Linked DNA regions of Arabidopsis thaliana. The protein of the gene in region 1 binds, or shares a complex with, the protein of each later gene. Each region holds a gene or a part of one and is shown in the gene's direction. Other genes may lie near its edges.

The links. The genes of interacting proteins can lie anywhere in the genome.
Region 2: SR30 (region 1) and U2B'' share a complex: the UniProt entries of both Arabidopsis thaliana proteins name them as parts of the spliceosome.
Region 3: SR30 (region 1) and SMU2 share a complex: the UniProt entries of both Arabidopsis thaliana proteins name them as parts of the spliceosome.

Annotation. Positions count from the first base shown.
Region 1 is NC_003070.9:2,942,038-2,948,584, reverse strand, and holds SR30 (SERINE-ARGININE PROTEIN 30), read left to right. Parts: upstream 1-2,608; 5' UTR 2,609-2,766; coding exon 2,767-2,853; intron 2,854-2,976; coding exon 2,977-3,042; intron 3,043-3,128; coding exon 3,129-3,203; intron 3,204-3,282; coding exon 3,283-3,385; intron 3,386-3,470; coding exon 3,471-3,517; intron 3,518-3,624; coding exon 3,625-3,682; intron 3,683-3,805; coding exon 3,806-3,855; intron 3,856-3,998; coding exon 3,999-4,055; intron 4,056-4,128; coding exon 4,129-4,241; intron 4,242-4,338; coding exon 4,339-4,416; coding exon of another isoform or gene 4,417-4,429; exon of another isoform or gene 4,430-5,020; coding exon of another isoform or gene 5,021-5,057; exon of another isoform or gene 5,058-5,358; coding exon 5,359-5,416; intron 5,417-5,683; coding exon 5,684-5,698; 3' UTR 5,699-6,047; downstream 6,048-6,547. Other genes in the region: AT1G09150 (pseudouridine synthase and archaeosine transglycosylase (PUA) domain-containing protein), read right to left, coding at 125-192, 275-411, 931-1,028, 1,130-1,197, 1,294-1,375, 1,976-1,986; AT1G09130 (ATP-dependent caseinolytic (Clp) protease/crotonase family protein), read left to right, coding at 6,368-6,547. UniProt on the Arabidopsis thaliana protein: Regulatory splicing factor that modulates alternative splicing and gene expression in specific cell types. Autoregulates its own expression. Probably involved in intron recognition and spliceosome assembly.
Region 2 is NC_003071.7:12,904,845-12,909,673, reverse strand, and holds U2B'' (U2 small nuclear ribonucleoprotein B), read left to right. Parts: upstream 1-2,008; 5' UTR 2,009-2,239; coding exon 2,240-2,312; intron 2,313-2,651; coding exon 2,652-2,824; intron 2,825-3,424; coding exon 3,425-3,518; intron 3,519-3,631; coding exon 3,632-3,720; coding exon of another isoform or gene 3,721-3,780; exon of another isoform or gene 3,781-3,847; coding exon 3,848-4,117; 3' UTR 4,118-4,329; downstream 4,330-4,829. Other genes in the region: AT2G30270 (LURP-one-like protein (DUF567)), read left to right, coding at 617-838, 1,029-1,229, 1,522-1,647; WRKY25 (WRKY DNA-binding protein 25), read left to right, coding at 4,585-4,821. UniProt on the Arabidopsis thaliana protein: Involved in nuclear pre-mRNA splicing.
Region 3 is NC_003071.7:11,254,432-11,261,126, reverse strand, and holds SMU2 (RED family protein), read left to right. Parts: upstream 1-2,056; 5' UTR 2,057-2,213; coding exon 2,214-2,260; intron 2,261-2,351; coding exon 2,352-2,492; intron 2,493-2,587; coding exon 2,588-2,637; intron 2,638-2,714; coding exon 2,715-2,829; intron 2,830-2,904; coding exon 2,905-2,953; intron 2,954-3,054; coding exon 3,055-3,144; intron 3,145-3,693; coding exon 3,694-3,762; intron 3,763-4,169; coding exon 4,170-4,293; intron 4,294-4,774; coding exon 4,775-5,181; intron 5,182-5,324; coding exon 5,325-5,708; intron 5,709-5,796; coding exon 5,797-6,078; 3' UTR 6,079-6,195; downstream 6,196-6,695. Other genes in the region: AT2G26470 (embryonic stem cell-specific 5-hydroxymethylcytosine-binding protein), read left to right, coding at 108-173, 637-746, 827-892, 1,044-1,811. UniProt on the Arabidopsis thaliana protein: Auxiliary spliceosomal protein involved in splicing of specific pre-mRNAs that affect multiple aspects of development.

The DNA of each region.
Region 1 (6,547 bases):
GTGACAAAGATAGGGTTACTTGGAGAGGCCTGGAGCCAAGAGACTGTATTTTGGCTAAGATACGAAAGTATATCAAAGCACATGTTTGTATTTTCAAATAAATTCCAGCGAAAAATTGACTTACATGTCCTTTGCTGACATTTTGGTGAAGCCTATTGCTAAGGCATGTTGCTTTCCTTCTGCATATATGGCCTAAACAAATACAGATTCATGGTTTAAGATCAGCATATACAAACAAAAATGCAACCCAGGGAAATACTGTTTTTATTCATACCACTGGCCTTTCAGCCTCGACTTCTTGATCCAGAACGCCTCCCGGGGATGTAAGACCAGGACACATTATGTTTGCACCAGACAGAACAAACTTTATGGCACCTCTATCAACTTGAAACCTCTTCATTATATTTGGGTCTGCAAAACTCCAAACATTCAGCTGCCAAATTTTTGACATTCGTGGCTAATTGAAAAAACTCCAAGTTTCTTTCTATGTATCATTCAAGTATGTAAAAGTTAGCTGAACGTGGTGTTTTCAAGAATATTTTATACTCTTCTGGTAACAGCCAATGCCAAAACCTTCTCACTATGATAAGGGTCAGCTAACCCGGAAAACATAAAACAAAATATACTAAACAAAAATCCTGGCTAACCAATCATACGTGGACCTTTTATATAGTTCACTCGCATGAAAAAAGCCAAAGGAACAACAACTTACAGGAACCAAACCCCAGGAAGTTCTAAATAACTCAGAGAAAAGTGTCGGACATACTATTCAGGTATATGCAGTATTTGAACCAGGTAAGTTCTACTGCAGACCACAGTAAGACTAACAGGTGTGAAGAAGAGTGATTGTATGAATAAAACACCCAGATATGTTATGTTTTGATAACAAGACCATATAGCATGGATGGTGTGAAGGAAAAGTGATATTACATTGATGAAGAAGCCGCAGTGTTGGCATGTATGGCCCGTCACGGATACAGAAGAAGAGGGGGACATTGTTGACAACAACTAGGGTCAGATGGTTTGGGCTGCACGAGAAATATAGTCAGGAATACTGTAAGACATAGATAGTGGGTAAAAGAAAATTCAGAAAACAAAACAATGAATATGAGTTTGTTAATTTACAGACCACTTCACTACGATAAGAGGAATCTTTTTGGGAAGTAGATCCTCCATCACTGATTCAAGTCCCGGGTACTGCAACATTAACATAAACATATTTATATCTGACAAACTTCACGAAATCATAAAAGTTTAAGAAGGGGAAAAAGACAAATGAAACAACAGACATACCTCATCTTGGATACTCTGGCGGATCCTACGTTGAACAGATGCCTTCACTTGGTTTTGTGATGAAATCTCCTCCAAACAAAACCTAAATAAAAAGTAGTGAACATAAATAACACCTTCATAGACATAATGGTATATCAAATAGATCTAAAGTTGATAGCAGTAGGGAAAAATAAACTTTATACAAGATTCACTATGAATGTATAAGCATGTTTCAGGAGATGGATAAACACAAACTCCATGATAGTAGAGAGTTTAGACTGGTCAAATCAAGACACAAACTTTCCTCTATGACCCACGACTCTTTGTACAGATTTGATAAATCAAATAGTGACACTATCAATATAGAAACCAAAACTTTACAATAGCAAGATGTTAGCTTTTGAGAACTCAAAACCTTCTACTTTGAAGAAAATATAACAACCAATATGCCCATACCAAGGCTACTCTAAGCAATCAAATTAACAATGTGGTCGACAACAAGTAGAAGGGAGTGAGTTCTCGATAGTTATTAGAGTAAGTGGATACTAAATAAAGAGACCATCACATTCTTTATCAACTAGTATAAACAATGCCGAGATGTTGAAACCACTAATTCTTAGATTCTACAATCCGGGTATGAAAAACAGTTTCTATCTAAATAAAAAAGTAGAGAAAGAATCTAGAAAGAGACAAAGATGCTTACTTCTTAAACATGTTCGAGGTTTATTGAAAATGATCACCAGCTTCTAACTATGGTATCTTCTTCCCTGCAAGCGAACAGTGGAAGATGATTGATAACGGAAATATCGGAACATCACTCAACAAACCAAAAATTTGGACATCATATCGCAACAAATTCAATAGGAAAAATACTGAAATTCCAAAACAGAAAAACCAAACGGAACAGAGCAGGAACTCACGGACTGAGAGAGACCGTGGACGGTGTCACGGCGGAAAATGGTCTTGGACGGAGTTACTAATCGGCGAATTGAGATTTGAGAGGTGGTAGTAGAGGAACCGAGAGAATGTTTCTCTCAAAAAAATCCCCAAGTGTTTCCGATCTAGTGTCTCTTTTGTCCAAAAACGACAGTGTTTAGGAAACCTAGGAGAATGAATGACCCGATGGTCCGAATCCGATTCGAAATTGGTTCGAATTGTAATAACTAACATACAATATTCCGGTTTGAATGATAAGAAAAAACACATTCGATCCGGTTAGAACAATATATTAACAGGCCCATTAAAACATATGGGCCGATCTTGATCAACTGGGCTATTCATCGTTGATACATGCGGCCGCACAGGATTAAAATCCAGTTCCGTTTTATAAAAGGATACTAGTTTCCAAACGAACGGTGGTTGTCTCCTTTCCAGAACAATCTAACGCTTTCTCGAACATCTTCTTCTTCTTCTTTCTCGAAATTATTTTTCCAGTAATCAATTTCTTCTCTTCTAGATTTTTACAGGAACTAATTTTCTGCTCTGAGGTATCAGATGAGTAGCCGATGGAATCGTACGATCTACGTTGGGAATTTGCCTGGAGATATTCGCAAGTGTGAGGTTGAAGATCTCTTCTACAAGGTTTGAAAATTCCTCTTTTCTCTCGATAAAAATTGAATTCATTATGACTTGTTTGGGTTCATAAATTTGCAATTCTGTCTTGCTGAGACAATTTAAATCGACTCTTATGTATATTTGTTTCAGTATGGACCAATTGTGGACATTGATTTGAAGATTCCACCGAGACCTCCTGGTTATGCCTTTGTCGAGGTATATTGATCAAGTACAAATTTGTTTTTTTCTTCTTCTTGTAATAGTATAGGCTAATGACTAAGATAGTTTGTTATTGGTGGCAGTTTGAAGATCCTCGTGATGCAGACGATGCAATTTATGGACGTGATGGTTATGATTTTGATGGGTGTCGACTTCGGGTTAGTAAACGCATGATGAAAGCTAGCTTAATTTTCTGTAATTTCTTGTAAAGGTGTTATCTTTGTGTGATGTTTTTAGGTTGAGATTGCACATGGTGGTCGTAGATTTTCACCATCAGTTGATAGGTACAGCAGCAGCTACAGTGCGAGCCGTGCACCTTCAAGACGCTCTGACTACCGCGGTTTGTAGAGTCTTCTCGATTGTGTTATTTGGTGTTGTGTAAAATTTTATATTTGAAAACTCATTTTTACTACCTAAACATGTAGTGCTTGTGACCGGATTACCGCCTTCTGCTTCGTGGCAGGACCTTAAGGTAAGGGACACTATATAGTCTTTTTCTCTGAATGTTGGTTCTCTATATCATGTTTTGGATTTATCTCTTTTCTGAAATGATGTTATTTGCTATTTACGGGTGATTAGGATCACATGCGCAAAGCTGGAGATGTCTGCTTCTCTGAAGTTTTCCCTGACCGTAAAGGTGAGTTGACATTCGATAGTTTGGATAAGCTTTTGATTGATGTGTTAGTAAATTAGTCTTTGTGAAGGAGAATAGGTGTTAAGCATCTGAACTGCTAAACTCACATTCAGTATTTCTTTGTAGGCATGTCTGGGGTTGTGGATTATAGCAACTATGATGATATGAAGTACGCAGTAAGTTTTATATCTTTGCAACGCAAATGTTCCTGGACTTATGCCTTAGACTGCTTTTGTTTCATAGTATACCGAGCTGAATTTATCTTCCTGGAGGCCAGTGTTGGATCTTTGATGTTCCCTTAAAATTTTTGATGTGACAGATAAGGAAACTTGATGCCACTGAATTTCGAAATGCTTTCTCTAGTGCTTATATACGGGTATGTTGTATTGCTTTCTTTGATTTTGTTAAGCATAAGTGGATATGGAGTCATCTCTGAATTTACTGTTCAGGTGAGGGAATATGAGTCGAGGAGTGTGAGTCGAAGCCCAGATGATTCTAAAAGCTATAGAAGCAGGAGTCGGAGCCGTGGTCCAAGCTGTAGCTATAGTAGCAAGAGCAGGAGGTCTTTTTTTTTTTTTTTTTTTCATAAACCTAAGACATATAAGGGATTTTTATTGTAACTTATTTATGAAATTAACTGACTTCTAAATGCAATGCAGTGTGTCACCTGCTAGATCCATTTCCCCGCGTTCACGGCCCCTTAGTCGTTCTCGCTCGCTATACAGCTCTGTCTCAAGGTATGAGTGTTAGATTTGTATCATTATTATATATGTAGTTACCCCTTCATGGATCACTTGTTCTTGCATAGTGAACTCCTTACTAGCTTTATTACTTACAACTAAGCACCTTTTGTTGCTTCCGTACACAGTTGAATTTGTTTGAGTCTTTTTTCCCTCATAGTGGACTAGTCTATTGTCACTTGATTTTCTTCCTTTGTTGATGTTTTCTATGTCATGCAAACTCCAATATGGGTAAAGGTTACCTCCTTGTTTGGGATTACCAGAGTTCCTTTTCATTTCTTACACGTGAATGTGTTTGTTTTTTATGTTTTGAGTTCTTGACAGAGATGCTCCCATCATATTTAGTCCTTTTCCTTTCTCTTTGTGTCGTTCTCTTCTGGATGTTTCCTTCTGATAAAGCTTTACTTCTTAACTTTTTTCCAGCGACGGTGAATTTATTACGTATCAATCTTCATTATCCGACTTATAATTTAAAGAACACTTAGCTAGATGTTTCACTTTTTGAAAATTTATTTCTATCGGAAGGGGGAAGATGGATTTCTGAGGCATGTCCTCGATCATTTACCGTGATTACAATTGTATTGCGTTGTTTGTTTTCTAGATCTGGCTCACTGCTACGAGCTGGGGATTGGATCTAGATGGGTCATCTAGATGGATTCTTGGACTGGATTTACAAAGCTGGATTAGCATGAACTTGAACTTCTGTTTTTACGGTCTGGTCTGGTCTGGTACTCCGCGCGTATCAGCTGTAGGATCTGATCGCAAAGTTTTGGACTATGATTACTCTGATTCCTCAATATATTTATCTTTTTGACAATAGTGGATTCTGTGTTGAGTTCTTTTCTAGGACAGCATTTAAGCTCCCGGGACTAGATGGGAGATGGTCAGTAAATTTCTTTGTTATGCCACACTTACATGGGGTTTTTGGTCTTGCTGCAGGTCCCAATCAAGATCAAAATCAAGATCAAGATCAAGATCGAATTCTCCAGTTTCACCTGTAAGTCTAAAAGCTGAACCTTCTTTAATTCACAATCCATGGTGTTTGTTTAAATACCTGCTCACTTTGGTTGTTCTTCAATCAACACCAACTTAACGAAATCATGAGACAGACTATAAAATTTGAAGAGTCTTAGAACGACTAGGTCTCACCAACCTCTGTGTGCACTAAAAATCGCCTCTCCAAGTGTTTCAGCAACATAATCTACCTCTGTCATGTGTTATCATTTCTTCTTCTCTTAACGGTATTACATATTATGTTTTGCAGGTGATATCTGGTTGAAAATGAAAACTGGCCACTGGCTGTACCCGAATCGTCTCAAGCTTCTCAGGCTCCACTGCTAATAGAATTTGATTCCGATTTGGGATTATTATACTGGTCTTCTTGTATGGGACGACCAATATGTCTTTCTAGTTTTAGTTGTGAACCTGGAATTGGTCTGTTATTGTGTCATTAAAAAGCCGGAAACTCTGTCTCGGCTGCATAATAAAGTTCATCAGACATTGTGTTGGGTGTGGTGAGGTTTTTCCATACATATACATTTACATTACAACTACTGGTGTCTTTTATGATTATCTTAAACTAAACTTGCAGTGTTAAAACTAAACTTGCTTTTGTTTTTGGATAAGATCACTCTAAAACGGTACAACCCCTGCCTGTATCCTACCAACAGTAACAACACACTACAGCTCATAGGCCATAGCACCAGAGTTTTGTGTAAACGAAATGGCCCAGAATAATTGCAATTTGGTCCGAAAGTAAAGTCTATTGCGACTGGGCCTGTTCCCTAAAATGTGATTTGGGCTATAGCCGGAATATCAAATAGCGGGTCAACCCGAAACCCGACCCAGTAATTATTCTCTCCCCTCCGAAAGCATCGATAAATCCTCTGGTTTCCTTTGTCCAACGAGTCCATTTTCGCGAGCTTCCGTGTCCAAGAGCTCCTCGACCATGGCGTCTTGTTTACAAGCATCCATGAATTCTCTGCTTCCACGCTCTTCTTCTTTTTCTCCTCATCCTCCTCTATCTTCGAATTCATCCGGGAGAAGAAACTTGAAGACTTTTCGTTACGCCTTTCGCGCCAAAGCCTCTGCCAAAATCCCTATGCCTCCGATAAATCCAAAGGATCCT
Region 2 (4,829 bases), on another chromosome or scaffold:
TGATGTTTTGAACAGAGTAGATCATCATATATATATTCTACAGAAAACATAAAAAAAAAATAAAATCAATACATTTTGAAAGATTATACATAATTCTTAGTTTTTTTAAAACAAACATTTGAGAGGGATGGAAATGCAAAAAAAAAAACCTTTATAAATCAATTCATGTCAAAGGTATGTTCACTAAAAATGTATCTTTTCCAACAAACACATATGTTAAACCATACGTTTTTCCAACCTAATGTAAGTAACACATTTACCATTTTCTATTAATTTATTAATCAAGATCAAACATCAAAAAAATGTGTTATTACTTTTTAGTTTTTTTTTTTGCATTTCAGTTTTGTGTGAAAAAAAAAACAAGAATTGGTATCTCAAGAACGTAAAAGAAAATTATCATTACTATTTTATTATCTTTGGCTTCTACATCCAATTATTTACTTGCTTAATTTTATTCATCTGAATTATTTTTTGGTGTAAGAAGAATGTTTCGCCGCAAAAAAAAAAATCTGATCCGACATCATTAGAACAAAAAAAAACATTGGCGTTGAATATAAGCTGCTTCTCTTGTTCTTCTTCTACCTTACGCTTCTGACTGTTATTAGAGACTATGTAAATGGCTGATTCCGAGACTCCGTATCACCCCGACCCTGAGGATCTCCGGCGTATACCAGTCGATCTCTTCGCTTCCAAAAAGCTTCCCGGACTTTCCTCCGGCGATCTCGGATTTGCCGATTCTTCCGAACATCTCGTCTTCATCCTCCGCAAATCTTCTTCCTCCTTGAAATCTCTCCTTGATTCCTCCGGAGTTCCTCTCTTCTCCATCTCTCGTCTCCACGTAAGCCTCCTTCGTCCCAAATTTCATCGATTTTGGCAATTCTCATCGCTACTTGTTTAAATCTCATTATTCATTACATAGTCCACACGATGTTTATACTTTTTGATTGTTTGGGTTTTGTTAGTTAGTCACTGGCTTGAGATATATCATAAGAACACTTACAGATCTTTGTATATGTATTGGAATGTAGAATGGAGTGTGGGAATTACATAAAGGAGATGTGGAAAAGCGTAAGGATTTGGTTCTAACGGTGAAGCGGACATCGAAAAGATTCAGTAAGACAGAGTCAGAGGTCTCTTTTGCTGGAGAATCGTCCGAAAATCTTGTTATCAAAGGTGTTCCCTTTCAGAAATCTTGTACCATTTATAGTCAAGATTCCATTGTTGCACAGGTAAAGATACTCATCTTCTCCCAATTACAGCACTATTGAACATTCTATAGCTAGACAAGAGTCAATACCGTGTTATACTGGTTTTGATTACCGGGTTCAAAACTCATCGTTTGGATCATGCTTGCTGATGGATAAACAACCAACCCTTTGTTTCGTTCATTTGAAGTCGGATTCATTAGGCTTGTAAAATTTGCTTGGATTCTAATACACTTGTTTTAAAGATTTTTGTTGTTGTTGTTGTGTTTGAACATTTGCCTCAATCTGATTTATGTTCCTTTAAATGTGGTGGCAGACGAGTTTGATGTACAAGCTGAGACAGATTTACGTAGGGAGAAGCAAGTTCCGGTTAACGATATTTCCTGGATCCATCGATCATTCACTAGTAGTCGCAATGGTTGCCATATTTCTTCAAGGATGAAAGTGAAACATCCTCGATTTATTTTCTCAGTGTAAAGAAAAATGTAACACAGAAACAAAAAGGCATTTTAGTACATTGCATTTTTAATGCCTTTTGATTCAATCGGCTCACACGTGAATTGTATTATCTATCACATGAATATTGAGATATACTAAGGTCTAAGGTTAAATCTTTTTTCAGAACAAATTTGCAAGCTCAGCTGGAAAAATACAACATCATTTACATTATTTTAAAAAGTTGTTGAACATTTGAATCAAAATGATTCACAAGACTTTTGTTGGAATTTTGCAATAAAAAAATTGATCTCGAGTCTATAAAAGTCCAATCCCGACCACTCATTCTATTTCCGGTTCAATTCTGTCTAGCCGGTCAAATTCAAATCCGGTCCATCCGGTCGGCTCATTCACGTTGGTACAAAAGTTTAGGAAATCGAACCAACAAACTAAACGGCGTCGTTAAATAGTCTGATGTTGAAACGCAGCTATTTCTTTTACTCTTCTTCGTCTCTCTCATTCCCAGTTCCCACCATTAGGGCTCTCTCTAAATTCCTCAGTCTCGAGAATCTTCATCGTCTTCACGAGCTCACTCGAAGATGTTAACGGCAGATATACCACCGAATCAATCAATCTACATCCAAAACCTCAACGAAAGGATCAAGAAAGAGGGTAAACTTCTCTTCTCGTTTAATCTAATTCGTCAAGTAAATTTCCAAATTCTTAGATGTTGAAACCTCCATGAACTTCCTGTACCAATGATTCAAGCTTCTACAGTACTGAATGTTAGGGTTTTTGCTTGTTTTTAGCTTATATAGAGTGTTCGTTTCTAAATACTAGGGTTTCAGAATCGTATTGAATCTAGTGACAAGGTTATAAGGAAGATATATATGTTGGTGTTGTCTGTTTTCGCCATTGTATGGATAATTGTTATAGACGTGTGAAGTAGTGTTGGCTCAGGGCAGTATCATCAATCTCATGCTTTATCTGACTTGGTTTTTGTTTTCTCAGAATTGAAGAGATCTCTTTACTGTTTGTTCTCTCAGTTTGGGAGGATACTTGATGTGGTTGCTTTGAAGACTCCGAAGCTCCGAGGACAAGCTTGGGTTACTTTTAGTGAAGTCACTGCTGCTGGTCATGCTGTTCGTCAGATGCAAAATTTTCCCTTCTATGATAAACCAATGGTCAGTATTTCATCACTCTTGAGTATATCAATCTCTTTATAGTTTCCATGAAAGTGATCTTCTATGTGTTGTATAGATCGATAGAAGCAAATCGTTAGTGTGTTTGTGTAATTGATTACTAACAATTTGTTTTGGAACCTTTGACCTTTTTCTATTCCCAATCCATTGGTAGTCATATATGTGTTTAGATTTTGTTGCTGTTGATGAGTAACCAATGATTAGTATCCACTACCTTTTCTGTCTTGAGTATATCAATCTCTGTATAATTTCCCTGGAAGTGATATTCTGTGTGTTGTATAGATTGATTGATGCGGTAAAAGCAGAAATCCTTAGTGTGTTTATGTGATTACCAATGATTACCTTTGACTGTGTTATTCTCAATCAACATTTAGTTATATGTGTGTTTGGATTTTGTTGCTGACCTTCTCAAATCACATTCTCTTATGATTTCTGTTGTCAAAATGTTTGTTCTGTTTGATATATACATTGTTTTTATAACTAAATCTTACCTCTTTCGATTGTTTGTAAACTATTCAACTACTTCCAATCAGGTTGAGATTTATTATTATTCATACTTTTTATGTGATCTTTTAAGTGCAGCGCTTACAATATGCAAAAGCAAAGTCAGATTGTCTAGCTAAAGCTGAGGGAACTTTCGTTCCAAAAGATAAGAAGAGGAAGCAAGAAGAAAAAGGTTTTAAACTTTATTTCTTCTTTTTGCATTTTGTCGTAGATGTTGGTTCAATGATACAACTATAAAATTTTCACTTGCATCTAAAGTTAACAAACTTCCTTTCTTACTTTCAGTTGAAAGAAAGCGTGAAGATTCCCAACGACCAAACACGGCTAATGGCCCAAGTGCTAATGGTCCAAGTGCCAATAACGGAGTCCCTGCGGTAAGTGTTCTTGTTCTCACCTTCATCTTCAGAAAAATCTTCCATTGTTGGATCATGTGAACCAAACTATTGTTATCTGGAGATGATGCTGATGTTTTGCGTTTTATCTCTGCTCTTCTTAATGCAGCCTTCGTTCCAGCCGAGCGGGCAAGAAACAATGCCACCAAACAACATACTCTTCATTCAGAATCTCCCACACGAGACAACAAGCATGATGCTACAGCTTCTCTTCGAACAGTACCCTGGATTCAAAGAGATAAGAATGATCGACGCAAAACCAGGAATCGCGTTTGTAGAGTACGAAGATGATGTTCAAGCTTCCATAGCTATGCAACCTCTTCAAGGTTTCAAAATCACTCCCCAGAATCCAATGGTCATCTCTTTCGCCAAGAAATGATAAGAGTCTTGTTTTTGTTTGTTTGTTGTCCTTTAAGACGATAGTACTGGACCAACCAAACCTGGTGTGTATAACCAACCAACGGTTCTATTGGTTAACGGATTAATCCGGTTTTGGTTTAATCATTGAAAGAGACCCTTGAAACGCGGTTTCACACTTGACGATTTATCACAAATTAGGAGACGACTCATCAAAAAAGAATATCTTACTGGTCAACCATTTTATAGAAATATTAAAATCAAAAATGATATTTAGGCCAAAGTAGAAAAAGACAAGAAGAGAGAGAAACAAAAAAAACCTTGCTCAATACGCCACCGTCGTCGTCTTTAACCCAATCTAAAAGCCTCTGTTCTTTTTTAGTTTTATCCTCTTTTTCATTTCAAGATCAATTTCATAAAAAAGTTTCCTTTTTTAGCGAATCCTCTGTTTTAGAAATCTTAAAGTTGTCTCCTTTATTAAAGACCATCATGTCTTCCACTTCTTTCACCGACCTTCTTGGTTCTTCCGGCGTTGACTGTTACGAAGATGATGAAGACTTGAGAGTTTCTGGGTCGAGTTTTGGTGGGTACTATCCAGAGAGAACCGGGTCTGGTTTACCTAAGTTCAAGACGGCTCAACCACCACCTCTTCCGATTTCACAATCTTCTCATAACTTCACTTTCTCCGATTACCTTGATTCTCCTCTGCTTCTCAGCTCCTCACACGTAATAAA
Region 3 (6,695 bases), on another chromosome or scaffold:
CAAAACTTGCTGAATGAATTTAAGTCTTTGGTTTTATGTCCTTTTTGGTAGCTACAATATCTCGCCTGTTTTCAATTTAAGTAACAGTTACTTTTTTTTTCTTGCAGGTGAGACACTTTACACCTTTACGATTTTGACAACCGCTTCCTCTTCAGCCCTCCAATGGCTCCATGGTTAGTAATATATACACTGGCTACATCGTGTGACATTTTTTCTTATTCAGTAATGATTCTCAGTAGCACAATGAAACACATAGCATATGAAGTTGGGAATTGTATATTTGTCTATGGACGCTTGAAGCTTGTGTTCCTCGTTGTTTAAAATGAGGTTTAATCAAACCCGCACATTAATAAAGATACAAACTTATCATAGTAGTATGAGTTGTTTCTGTTTTCGTATTACATCTGATTTGATAAGCTCTTTTAGAAAAGATACATATGTAATTGCATGAGAATCTTTAACTTCTTTAAGTACTGGAATAGAACAAGCAGTGGCTGTTTAAGGTAGTTTAATATTGAGAGTAGCGTTTCTTATACAATGCTTACATTATTAGCGGCTGTTGATGATTGTTTTGTTGATTTGCAGCAGCCCTGAATTTTTGTGTTAACACGTGAGTTTGTTTATTTTTCATGTAAGACAGAATGCCTGTAATTCTTGGTGATAAGGATTCAATCGACACATGGTTAGATGATCCCTCGACAACGAAACTGCAGCCATTACTTTCACCATATGAAAAATCGGATTTGGTATGCAATTGCTTACTTCCTCGCATATAAGAGTGGTCTTTCCTTTTTCATTTACTTGAGATTGAAGTTTGAACTTTCAGGTATGGTATCCAGTAACCTCTGCAATTGGTAAACCAACGTTTGATGGACCAGAGTGTATTCAACAGGTACGGTTAACATCTTTCCCTTTCTTAGTAGTGTACAACTCAAATCTCAAGTTTGATCTCAAGTCGCATTAAACATATTGTCAGGATCACTATGTATTTGTACAGTCTGTATGCTTATTGTCATTTCAAATAAGGATTATGCCACCTGCAGATACCGCTAAAGACTTCACAAAATAGCTTGATCTCGAAGTTTTTCTCAACAAAGCAGCCCAAAACAGATGAAGGAGACAAAGAAACCAAATCAACAGATGCAAATATCATAGTTGATTTGAAAAAGGAACCTACGGCTGAAAAGGACACGTTTTCTGACAGCATTAAGAAAATTGAAGAACTAGACGGGGAGAAAGATATGTCGAATGTAGCCAAAAATCTGGAGTTTCAAGAGATTGTGAAAGCAGAACCATTTGTTGAAGATAACTCAGCAGTTGCGTCACTTCCTGAACCTGTAAAGAATGATGTTCAGGAGGGTACAAAGGAAGAAGGCAAATCCCTAAAGACTGGTCTTACTAAAGAAACAGGTGAGAGCAGTGCCAGTATACCGGCTGAGTCCTACATCCTTGATCTCCAAAGAATCTCAAAAGAAGAACCCGAGACTCAAAGCCATCATTTCTTTACTGCAGATGAGAGATTGAATCAGCTGCATGAGGCTGTCGAAGATATTCCAGGAAATGAAAACCAGAAGACAGTTTTAACTAGCCCGACGACGAAGGAAGGTGGCTTAGTGTTTAGCGAAAAGAGTGGGACAAAGCGAGACTATGAGGTATTCTCAGCTCAAGAAAAGCCACAGAAACACTATGAGAGGTTGCAAAATGTTAAAAGCAGTGGGAAACAAGGAAAGATGCATGGAATGGGGAAATCTAACATCAAGAAATCTAAGGAGACGCAGTCTACATTACATTTCTTTTTCGATGAGAAATAGTTTTGAGTCTACATAACATCTATGAGGACCATGTTGGCCTACTTTTGTTGTAGATAATGTTAGATAAGACCATCGTTTTGGGAATGTTGCTTGTATTGTATGTGTAGTGTTTGATCTTTGATCTAAGGTAATATTATTATGAATGAATTGGGTTTTTAATGTCCTTGGTGGATGGTAAAAATTTGTGAACCAGGTTTCGATAATCAAACCCGGTCGCTAAACGATTTTATCGGTTTAAATTAGATCCGGTTTCTAAATTAAACATCGAATTCTAATTTCCCCTGACCAGAACCACCAACGCTTTGAAATCGAAACAGACACAGATATCATCAGAACGAAGAACTTCAGCCAAAATCTGATTTTTCTCTGTTTCACGACAAGAAATCGAATTAACGAAATCTAATGAAACCTTCAAAATCGCATCACAAGGAGAAAACCGCTCGTCGGAGGTCAGAAATCTTCATTTTCCTCTCTCCCCTTTTCTTCAAAAGCTAGGGTTTTTACACAAAAACATCAAAACTCGTCACTTTTCCTTCACAGAGAGGAGAAACTAGAGGAATCCGATAATCCAAAATACAGAGATCGTGCTAAAGAAAGAAGAGAGAATCAAAATCCTGATTATGATCCATCAGAGCTTAGTTCTTTCCATGCCGTTGCTCCTCCCGGAGCTGTCGATATCCGGTAGCACTTGTCTTTCCTCGATTACTTCATTATCTTTCTAAATTCTAATTGGGTTTCTCTAAATTTCTGTTGCTGTGTACTTTTTTTTGTTGTAGTGCTGCTGATGCACTTAAGATATCTATTGAGAACAGCAAATATCTTGGAGGTTTGTGTTAGGTTTACAAATTTATTCAAAATGTTTTTTTTTTGAGGTGCTTATGTTGTTTTTATGATATGGTTTAGGTGATGTTGAACATACCCATTTAGTTAAGGGTTTGGATTATGCTTTGTTGAATAAAGTACGAAGCGAAATCGTTAAGAAACCTGATGGTGAAGATGGTGATGGTGGGAAGACTAGGTAGATTTGGTTATACTTGGTTTATTGACTCATTTGGCTTCTTTGATTCAAGTGCTAATTTTACTATATTAACAGTGCGCCTAAGGAAGATCAGCGAGTTACTTTCCGTACCATAGCTGCAAAGGTATGCAATTTTGTTCTGAACTTTGCAGATGAGGAGCAAGTTTTGGGATGTAGTTAACGCGCTTGATGTTTTTTGTTTCTCTTGTCTTTGATCTGTTTCAGTCAGTTTACCAGTGGATTGTTAAGCCTCAGACTATCATCAAGTCTAATGAGATGTTTCTTCCCGGTAGAATGACATTTGTCTATGATATGGTATTGCTTGTTAACTCTTTTTCAGGAAGATTCAATCTTATTACATGTTCTTATGTCGTTGTTTGTCTTAGGAAGTAGTCATACATGTGTATTCTGCTTCAACGATTCTTCTTCGAGTATTAGTTAATATTTAGTTAAATCTTCGCTTCTAGTTTAAATACATGTCTCAGGAAAATTTTAAGAAGGTAGCTTAAGCTGTTTTGCATTACCTTGTTAGCGATTTATTCACGATTTAATCTATTTGTTAGAAACCTTATACGCAGAATTGGTTGTAAAGGTTTTTTAGTTCGATTAACGTGTCTGCTCTTCTTGAAGAAGCATATTCTTTTTCTCTTGCAGATAGAGACACCATACGACAAGAAAAGTCAGTTGAATATACTATTGATATTTGGTAGTGTTACGTATGAAGTTTCCTTTGAGATACTTAGTCTCAGCTAAGCTGCTAGGCTAAGCTTATAGTATGGGTTTAGTCTGCCCTTTGAAAGCCTCCCTGTTGATGTATATTAATTTTATTCCCTTTTGTTTTTAATTCTATTTGTTGCTTTTCAGGAAGGTGGCTATACCCATGACATACCGACCACGTTATATAGGAGTAAAGCTGACTGCCCGGTGCCCGAGGTATGTATACTTAGAGTCCTTGTTGTAATAGTCTTCTTGATCCTGGAAAAATCTTTAGACTGTAAGCAGTGATGTGACATGATCGTTTTGATTCTAATGAAAATAAGCCCACTCTGCCTGTCTCTGCAACCTATTTTCTTTTACAGTGTTGATGTATTCAATACAGCTAATATCGATTATATAAGTCATTAGTTTTGGTAGAAGCATAGATTTTCTTTAAGTAATTATAAAAATCTTTTTAAACTAAATTCAACTTTCTTTCTACTAATCTGGAACCAAAATTAACGTTGCTTAATATGTTTGTTTACTGAACATAATAAAAATTTATAATTGAAATCACTGCTGCAATTTTTGCGAGAATTGTTTCATTTAACAGGCACTGTTTCTCTGTCCTATCTCCCCAACAGGAATTTGTCACAGTCAATGTTGATGGTTCTGTGCTAGATCGAATTGCTAAAATCATGTCATATCTTCGCCTTGGGTCGTCGGGGAAAGTTCTCAAGAAGAAAAAGAAAGAAAAAGATGGGAAAGGTATTTTGCATCTACTGGTGCATTTTTTTGTAAAGTTTAAGTATTAGCAGACCTGATTCACTTACACTGGTTAAATAAGTTCTCTGCTTTTCCCGAAATTTGTTAATTATCTGGTCTTACAGTTTGGAGCCAAGAATGTAAAGAGTGTACCTAGTCTTTGACCACAGTACTAGTAGTATCTACTGATGTCTGGTTGTGTTCTCGCTTATCAATTGTGAAGAAATTTAGTTGTATCATAAATATGTTGCTGCCGTCCCTTGATGGTTCTGTAAACTCTGTTGTTAGTAATTTTTATTATGCTAATGTGGTGCCAGTACATGTTGTAGTTCTTGTTTCACATCAGCATACAATTGGATACAAGTTGGCTGGTTTCTGATTCTTTAGCAAGATAATTTGCTAATTTCTATTCTATCATACGTTCATGCATTTTTTATATTATTTTGCCTTATTAATCACATCCACTGCAACTTTTCAAATGCAGGAAAGATGTCAACTATTGCTAATGATTATGATGAAGACGACAATAAATCTAAGATTGAGAATGGATCTTCTGTGAACATAAGTGACAGGGAAGTTTTACCTCCTCCTCCGCCATTACCACCTGGGATAAACCATCTGGATTTGAGTACGAAACAAGAAGAACCCCCTGTTGCCAGGACAGACGATGATGACATATTTGTTGGTGAAGGCGTCGATTACACGGTTCCTGGTAAAGATGTGACACAGAGTCCTATTTCTGAGGACATGGAAGAATCTCCCAGGGATAAGGAGAAAGTATCTTATTTCGATGAGCCTGCTTATGGTCCAGTGCAGGAGAAGGTACCTTATTTCGCTGAGCCTGCTTATGGTCCAGTGCAGCCATCTGCTGGTCAGGAATGGCAAGATATGGTCAGTTCACCCTAGCTAATCCTTGGTTGTATTTATTCTCAAATCTTGATCCTCGTCTGCAAATTTTGCGTCTTGGTATGTAGTTATTAGATGTCATTTATTCCCATATTTAGGTTTTTTCTGGTGGTTGTGTGTTTTTCCAGAGTGCATATGGTGCAATGCAAACTCAAGGACTGGCTCCTGGGTACCCCGGAGAGTGGCAGGAATACCAATATGCAGAGCAAACTGGGTATCAGGAGCAGTACCTTCAACCTGGAATGGAGGGTTACGAGGTCCAACCAGAAACCGATGTTTTACTAGATCCTCAACTCATGTCGCAGGAAGAGAAAGATAGGGGTTTGGGATCGGTTTTCAAGCGTGATGACCAAAGGCTTCAACAGTTGAGGGAGAGTGACGCAAGGGAGAAAGATCCAACTTTTGTATCCGAGAGTTATTCAGAGTGTTATCCAGGTTACCAAGAGTACAACCATGAGATTGTCGGTAGTGATGAAGAACCTGATTTGTCTAAAATGGACATGGGTGGAAAGGTATGCCCTGACTTAATTACATGTTCCTTGTTATTTATTGTGGAAGAGCAAAATTACAGTATCTGGTTGTTGAATGTACATGGAACAGGCAAAGGGTGGTTTACATCGATGGGACTTTGAGACAGAAGAGGAATGGGAAAAATATAATGAGCAGAAGGAAGCGATGCCAAAAGCGGCGTTCCAATTCGGGGTAAAGATGCAAGATGGTCGAAAGACAAGGAAGCAGAACCGTGACCGTGACCAGAAGCTCAATAATGAACTTCACCAGATCAATAAGATACTTACGAGAAAGAAGATGGAGAAGGAGGGTGGGGATGTTGCTTCTTTGGATGCCGCCGAGGCACAAACTCCTAAGAGATCCAAGCATTGATTTGTCTCTTGTCTACTCCAGTCATTCTCTCGTAATCTATTTTGTATCTTCAAGTCTGTTTAGGTTTTTGGTACCTTGAGTTCAAATTCTTAATTTAGAAAAGATTTTACGTCCAAATTTTGAAATGATAGCATTCTTATTTCCTAATTACCCATTAAACACGAAGCAGTTTTGGGAGTTGGGACAGCCTTAGGTTTTAGGTTTAGCATCACCAAAAATGAGACGCTTCAGTAACCAACCCAACAAGACAAGCAAAAAACTAGAAAAATCATAAAACCCTAATCAGAAAAATGGCCACAGATTCCATGAATGCAGCCACCGTCAATGACTCCGACCGTTTCATCTTCTCCACACCTCTCTCCGCTCGTGGTTCAACCAAACGTGACGCCATCTCCGTCGAGGATCTTGGCCAATACACTCTTCTCAAACTCCATTCAAATCCGGTTTCACAAACTACATAGATCTTGGCCAATACAACGACGAAGATGACGATGTAAGAATCCTCTGTTTCACACCAATCTCCATAGAAAAGGGACAGTCCTCTGTTTGACCAATACAACGACGAAGACGCTCTTTCGACTGCGAGATATGTGTTGAACGAAAACCAAGGATTGAAT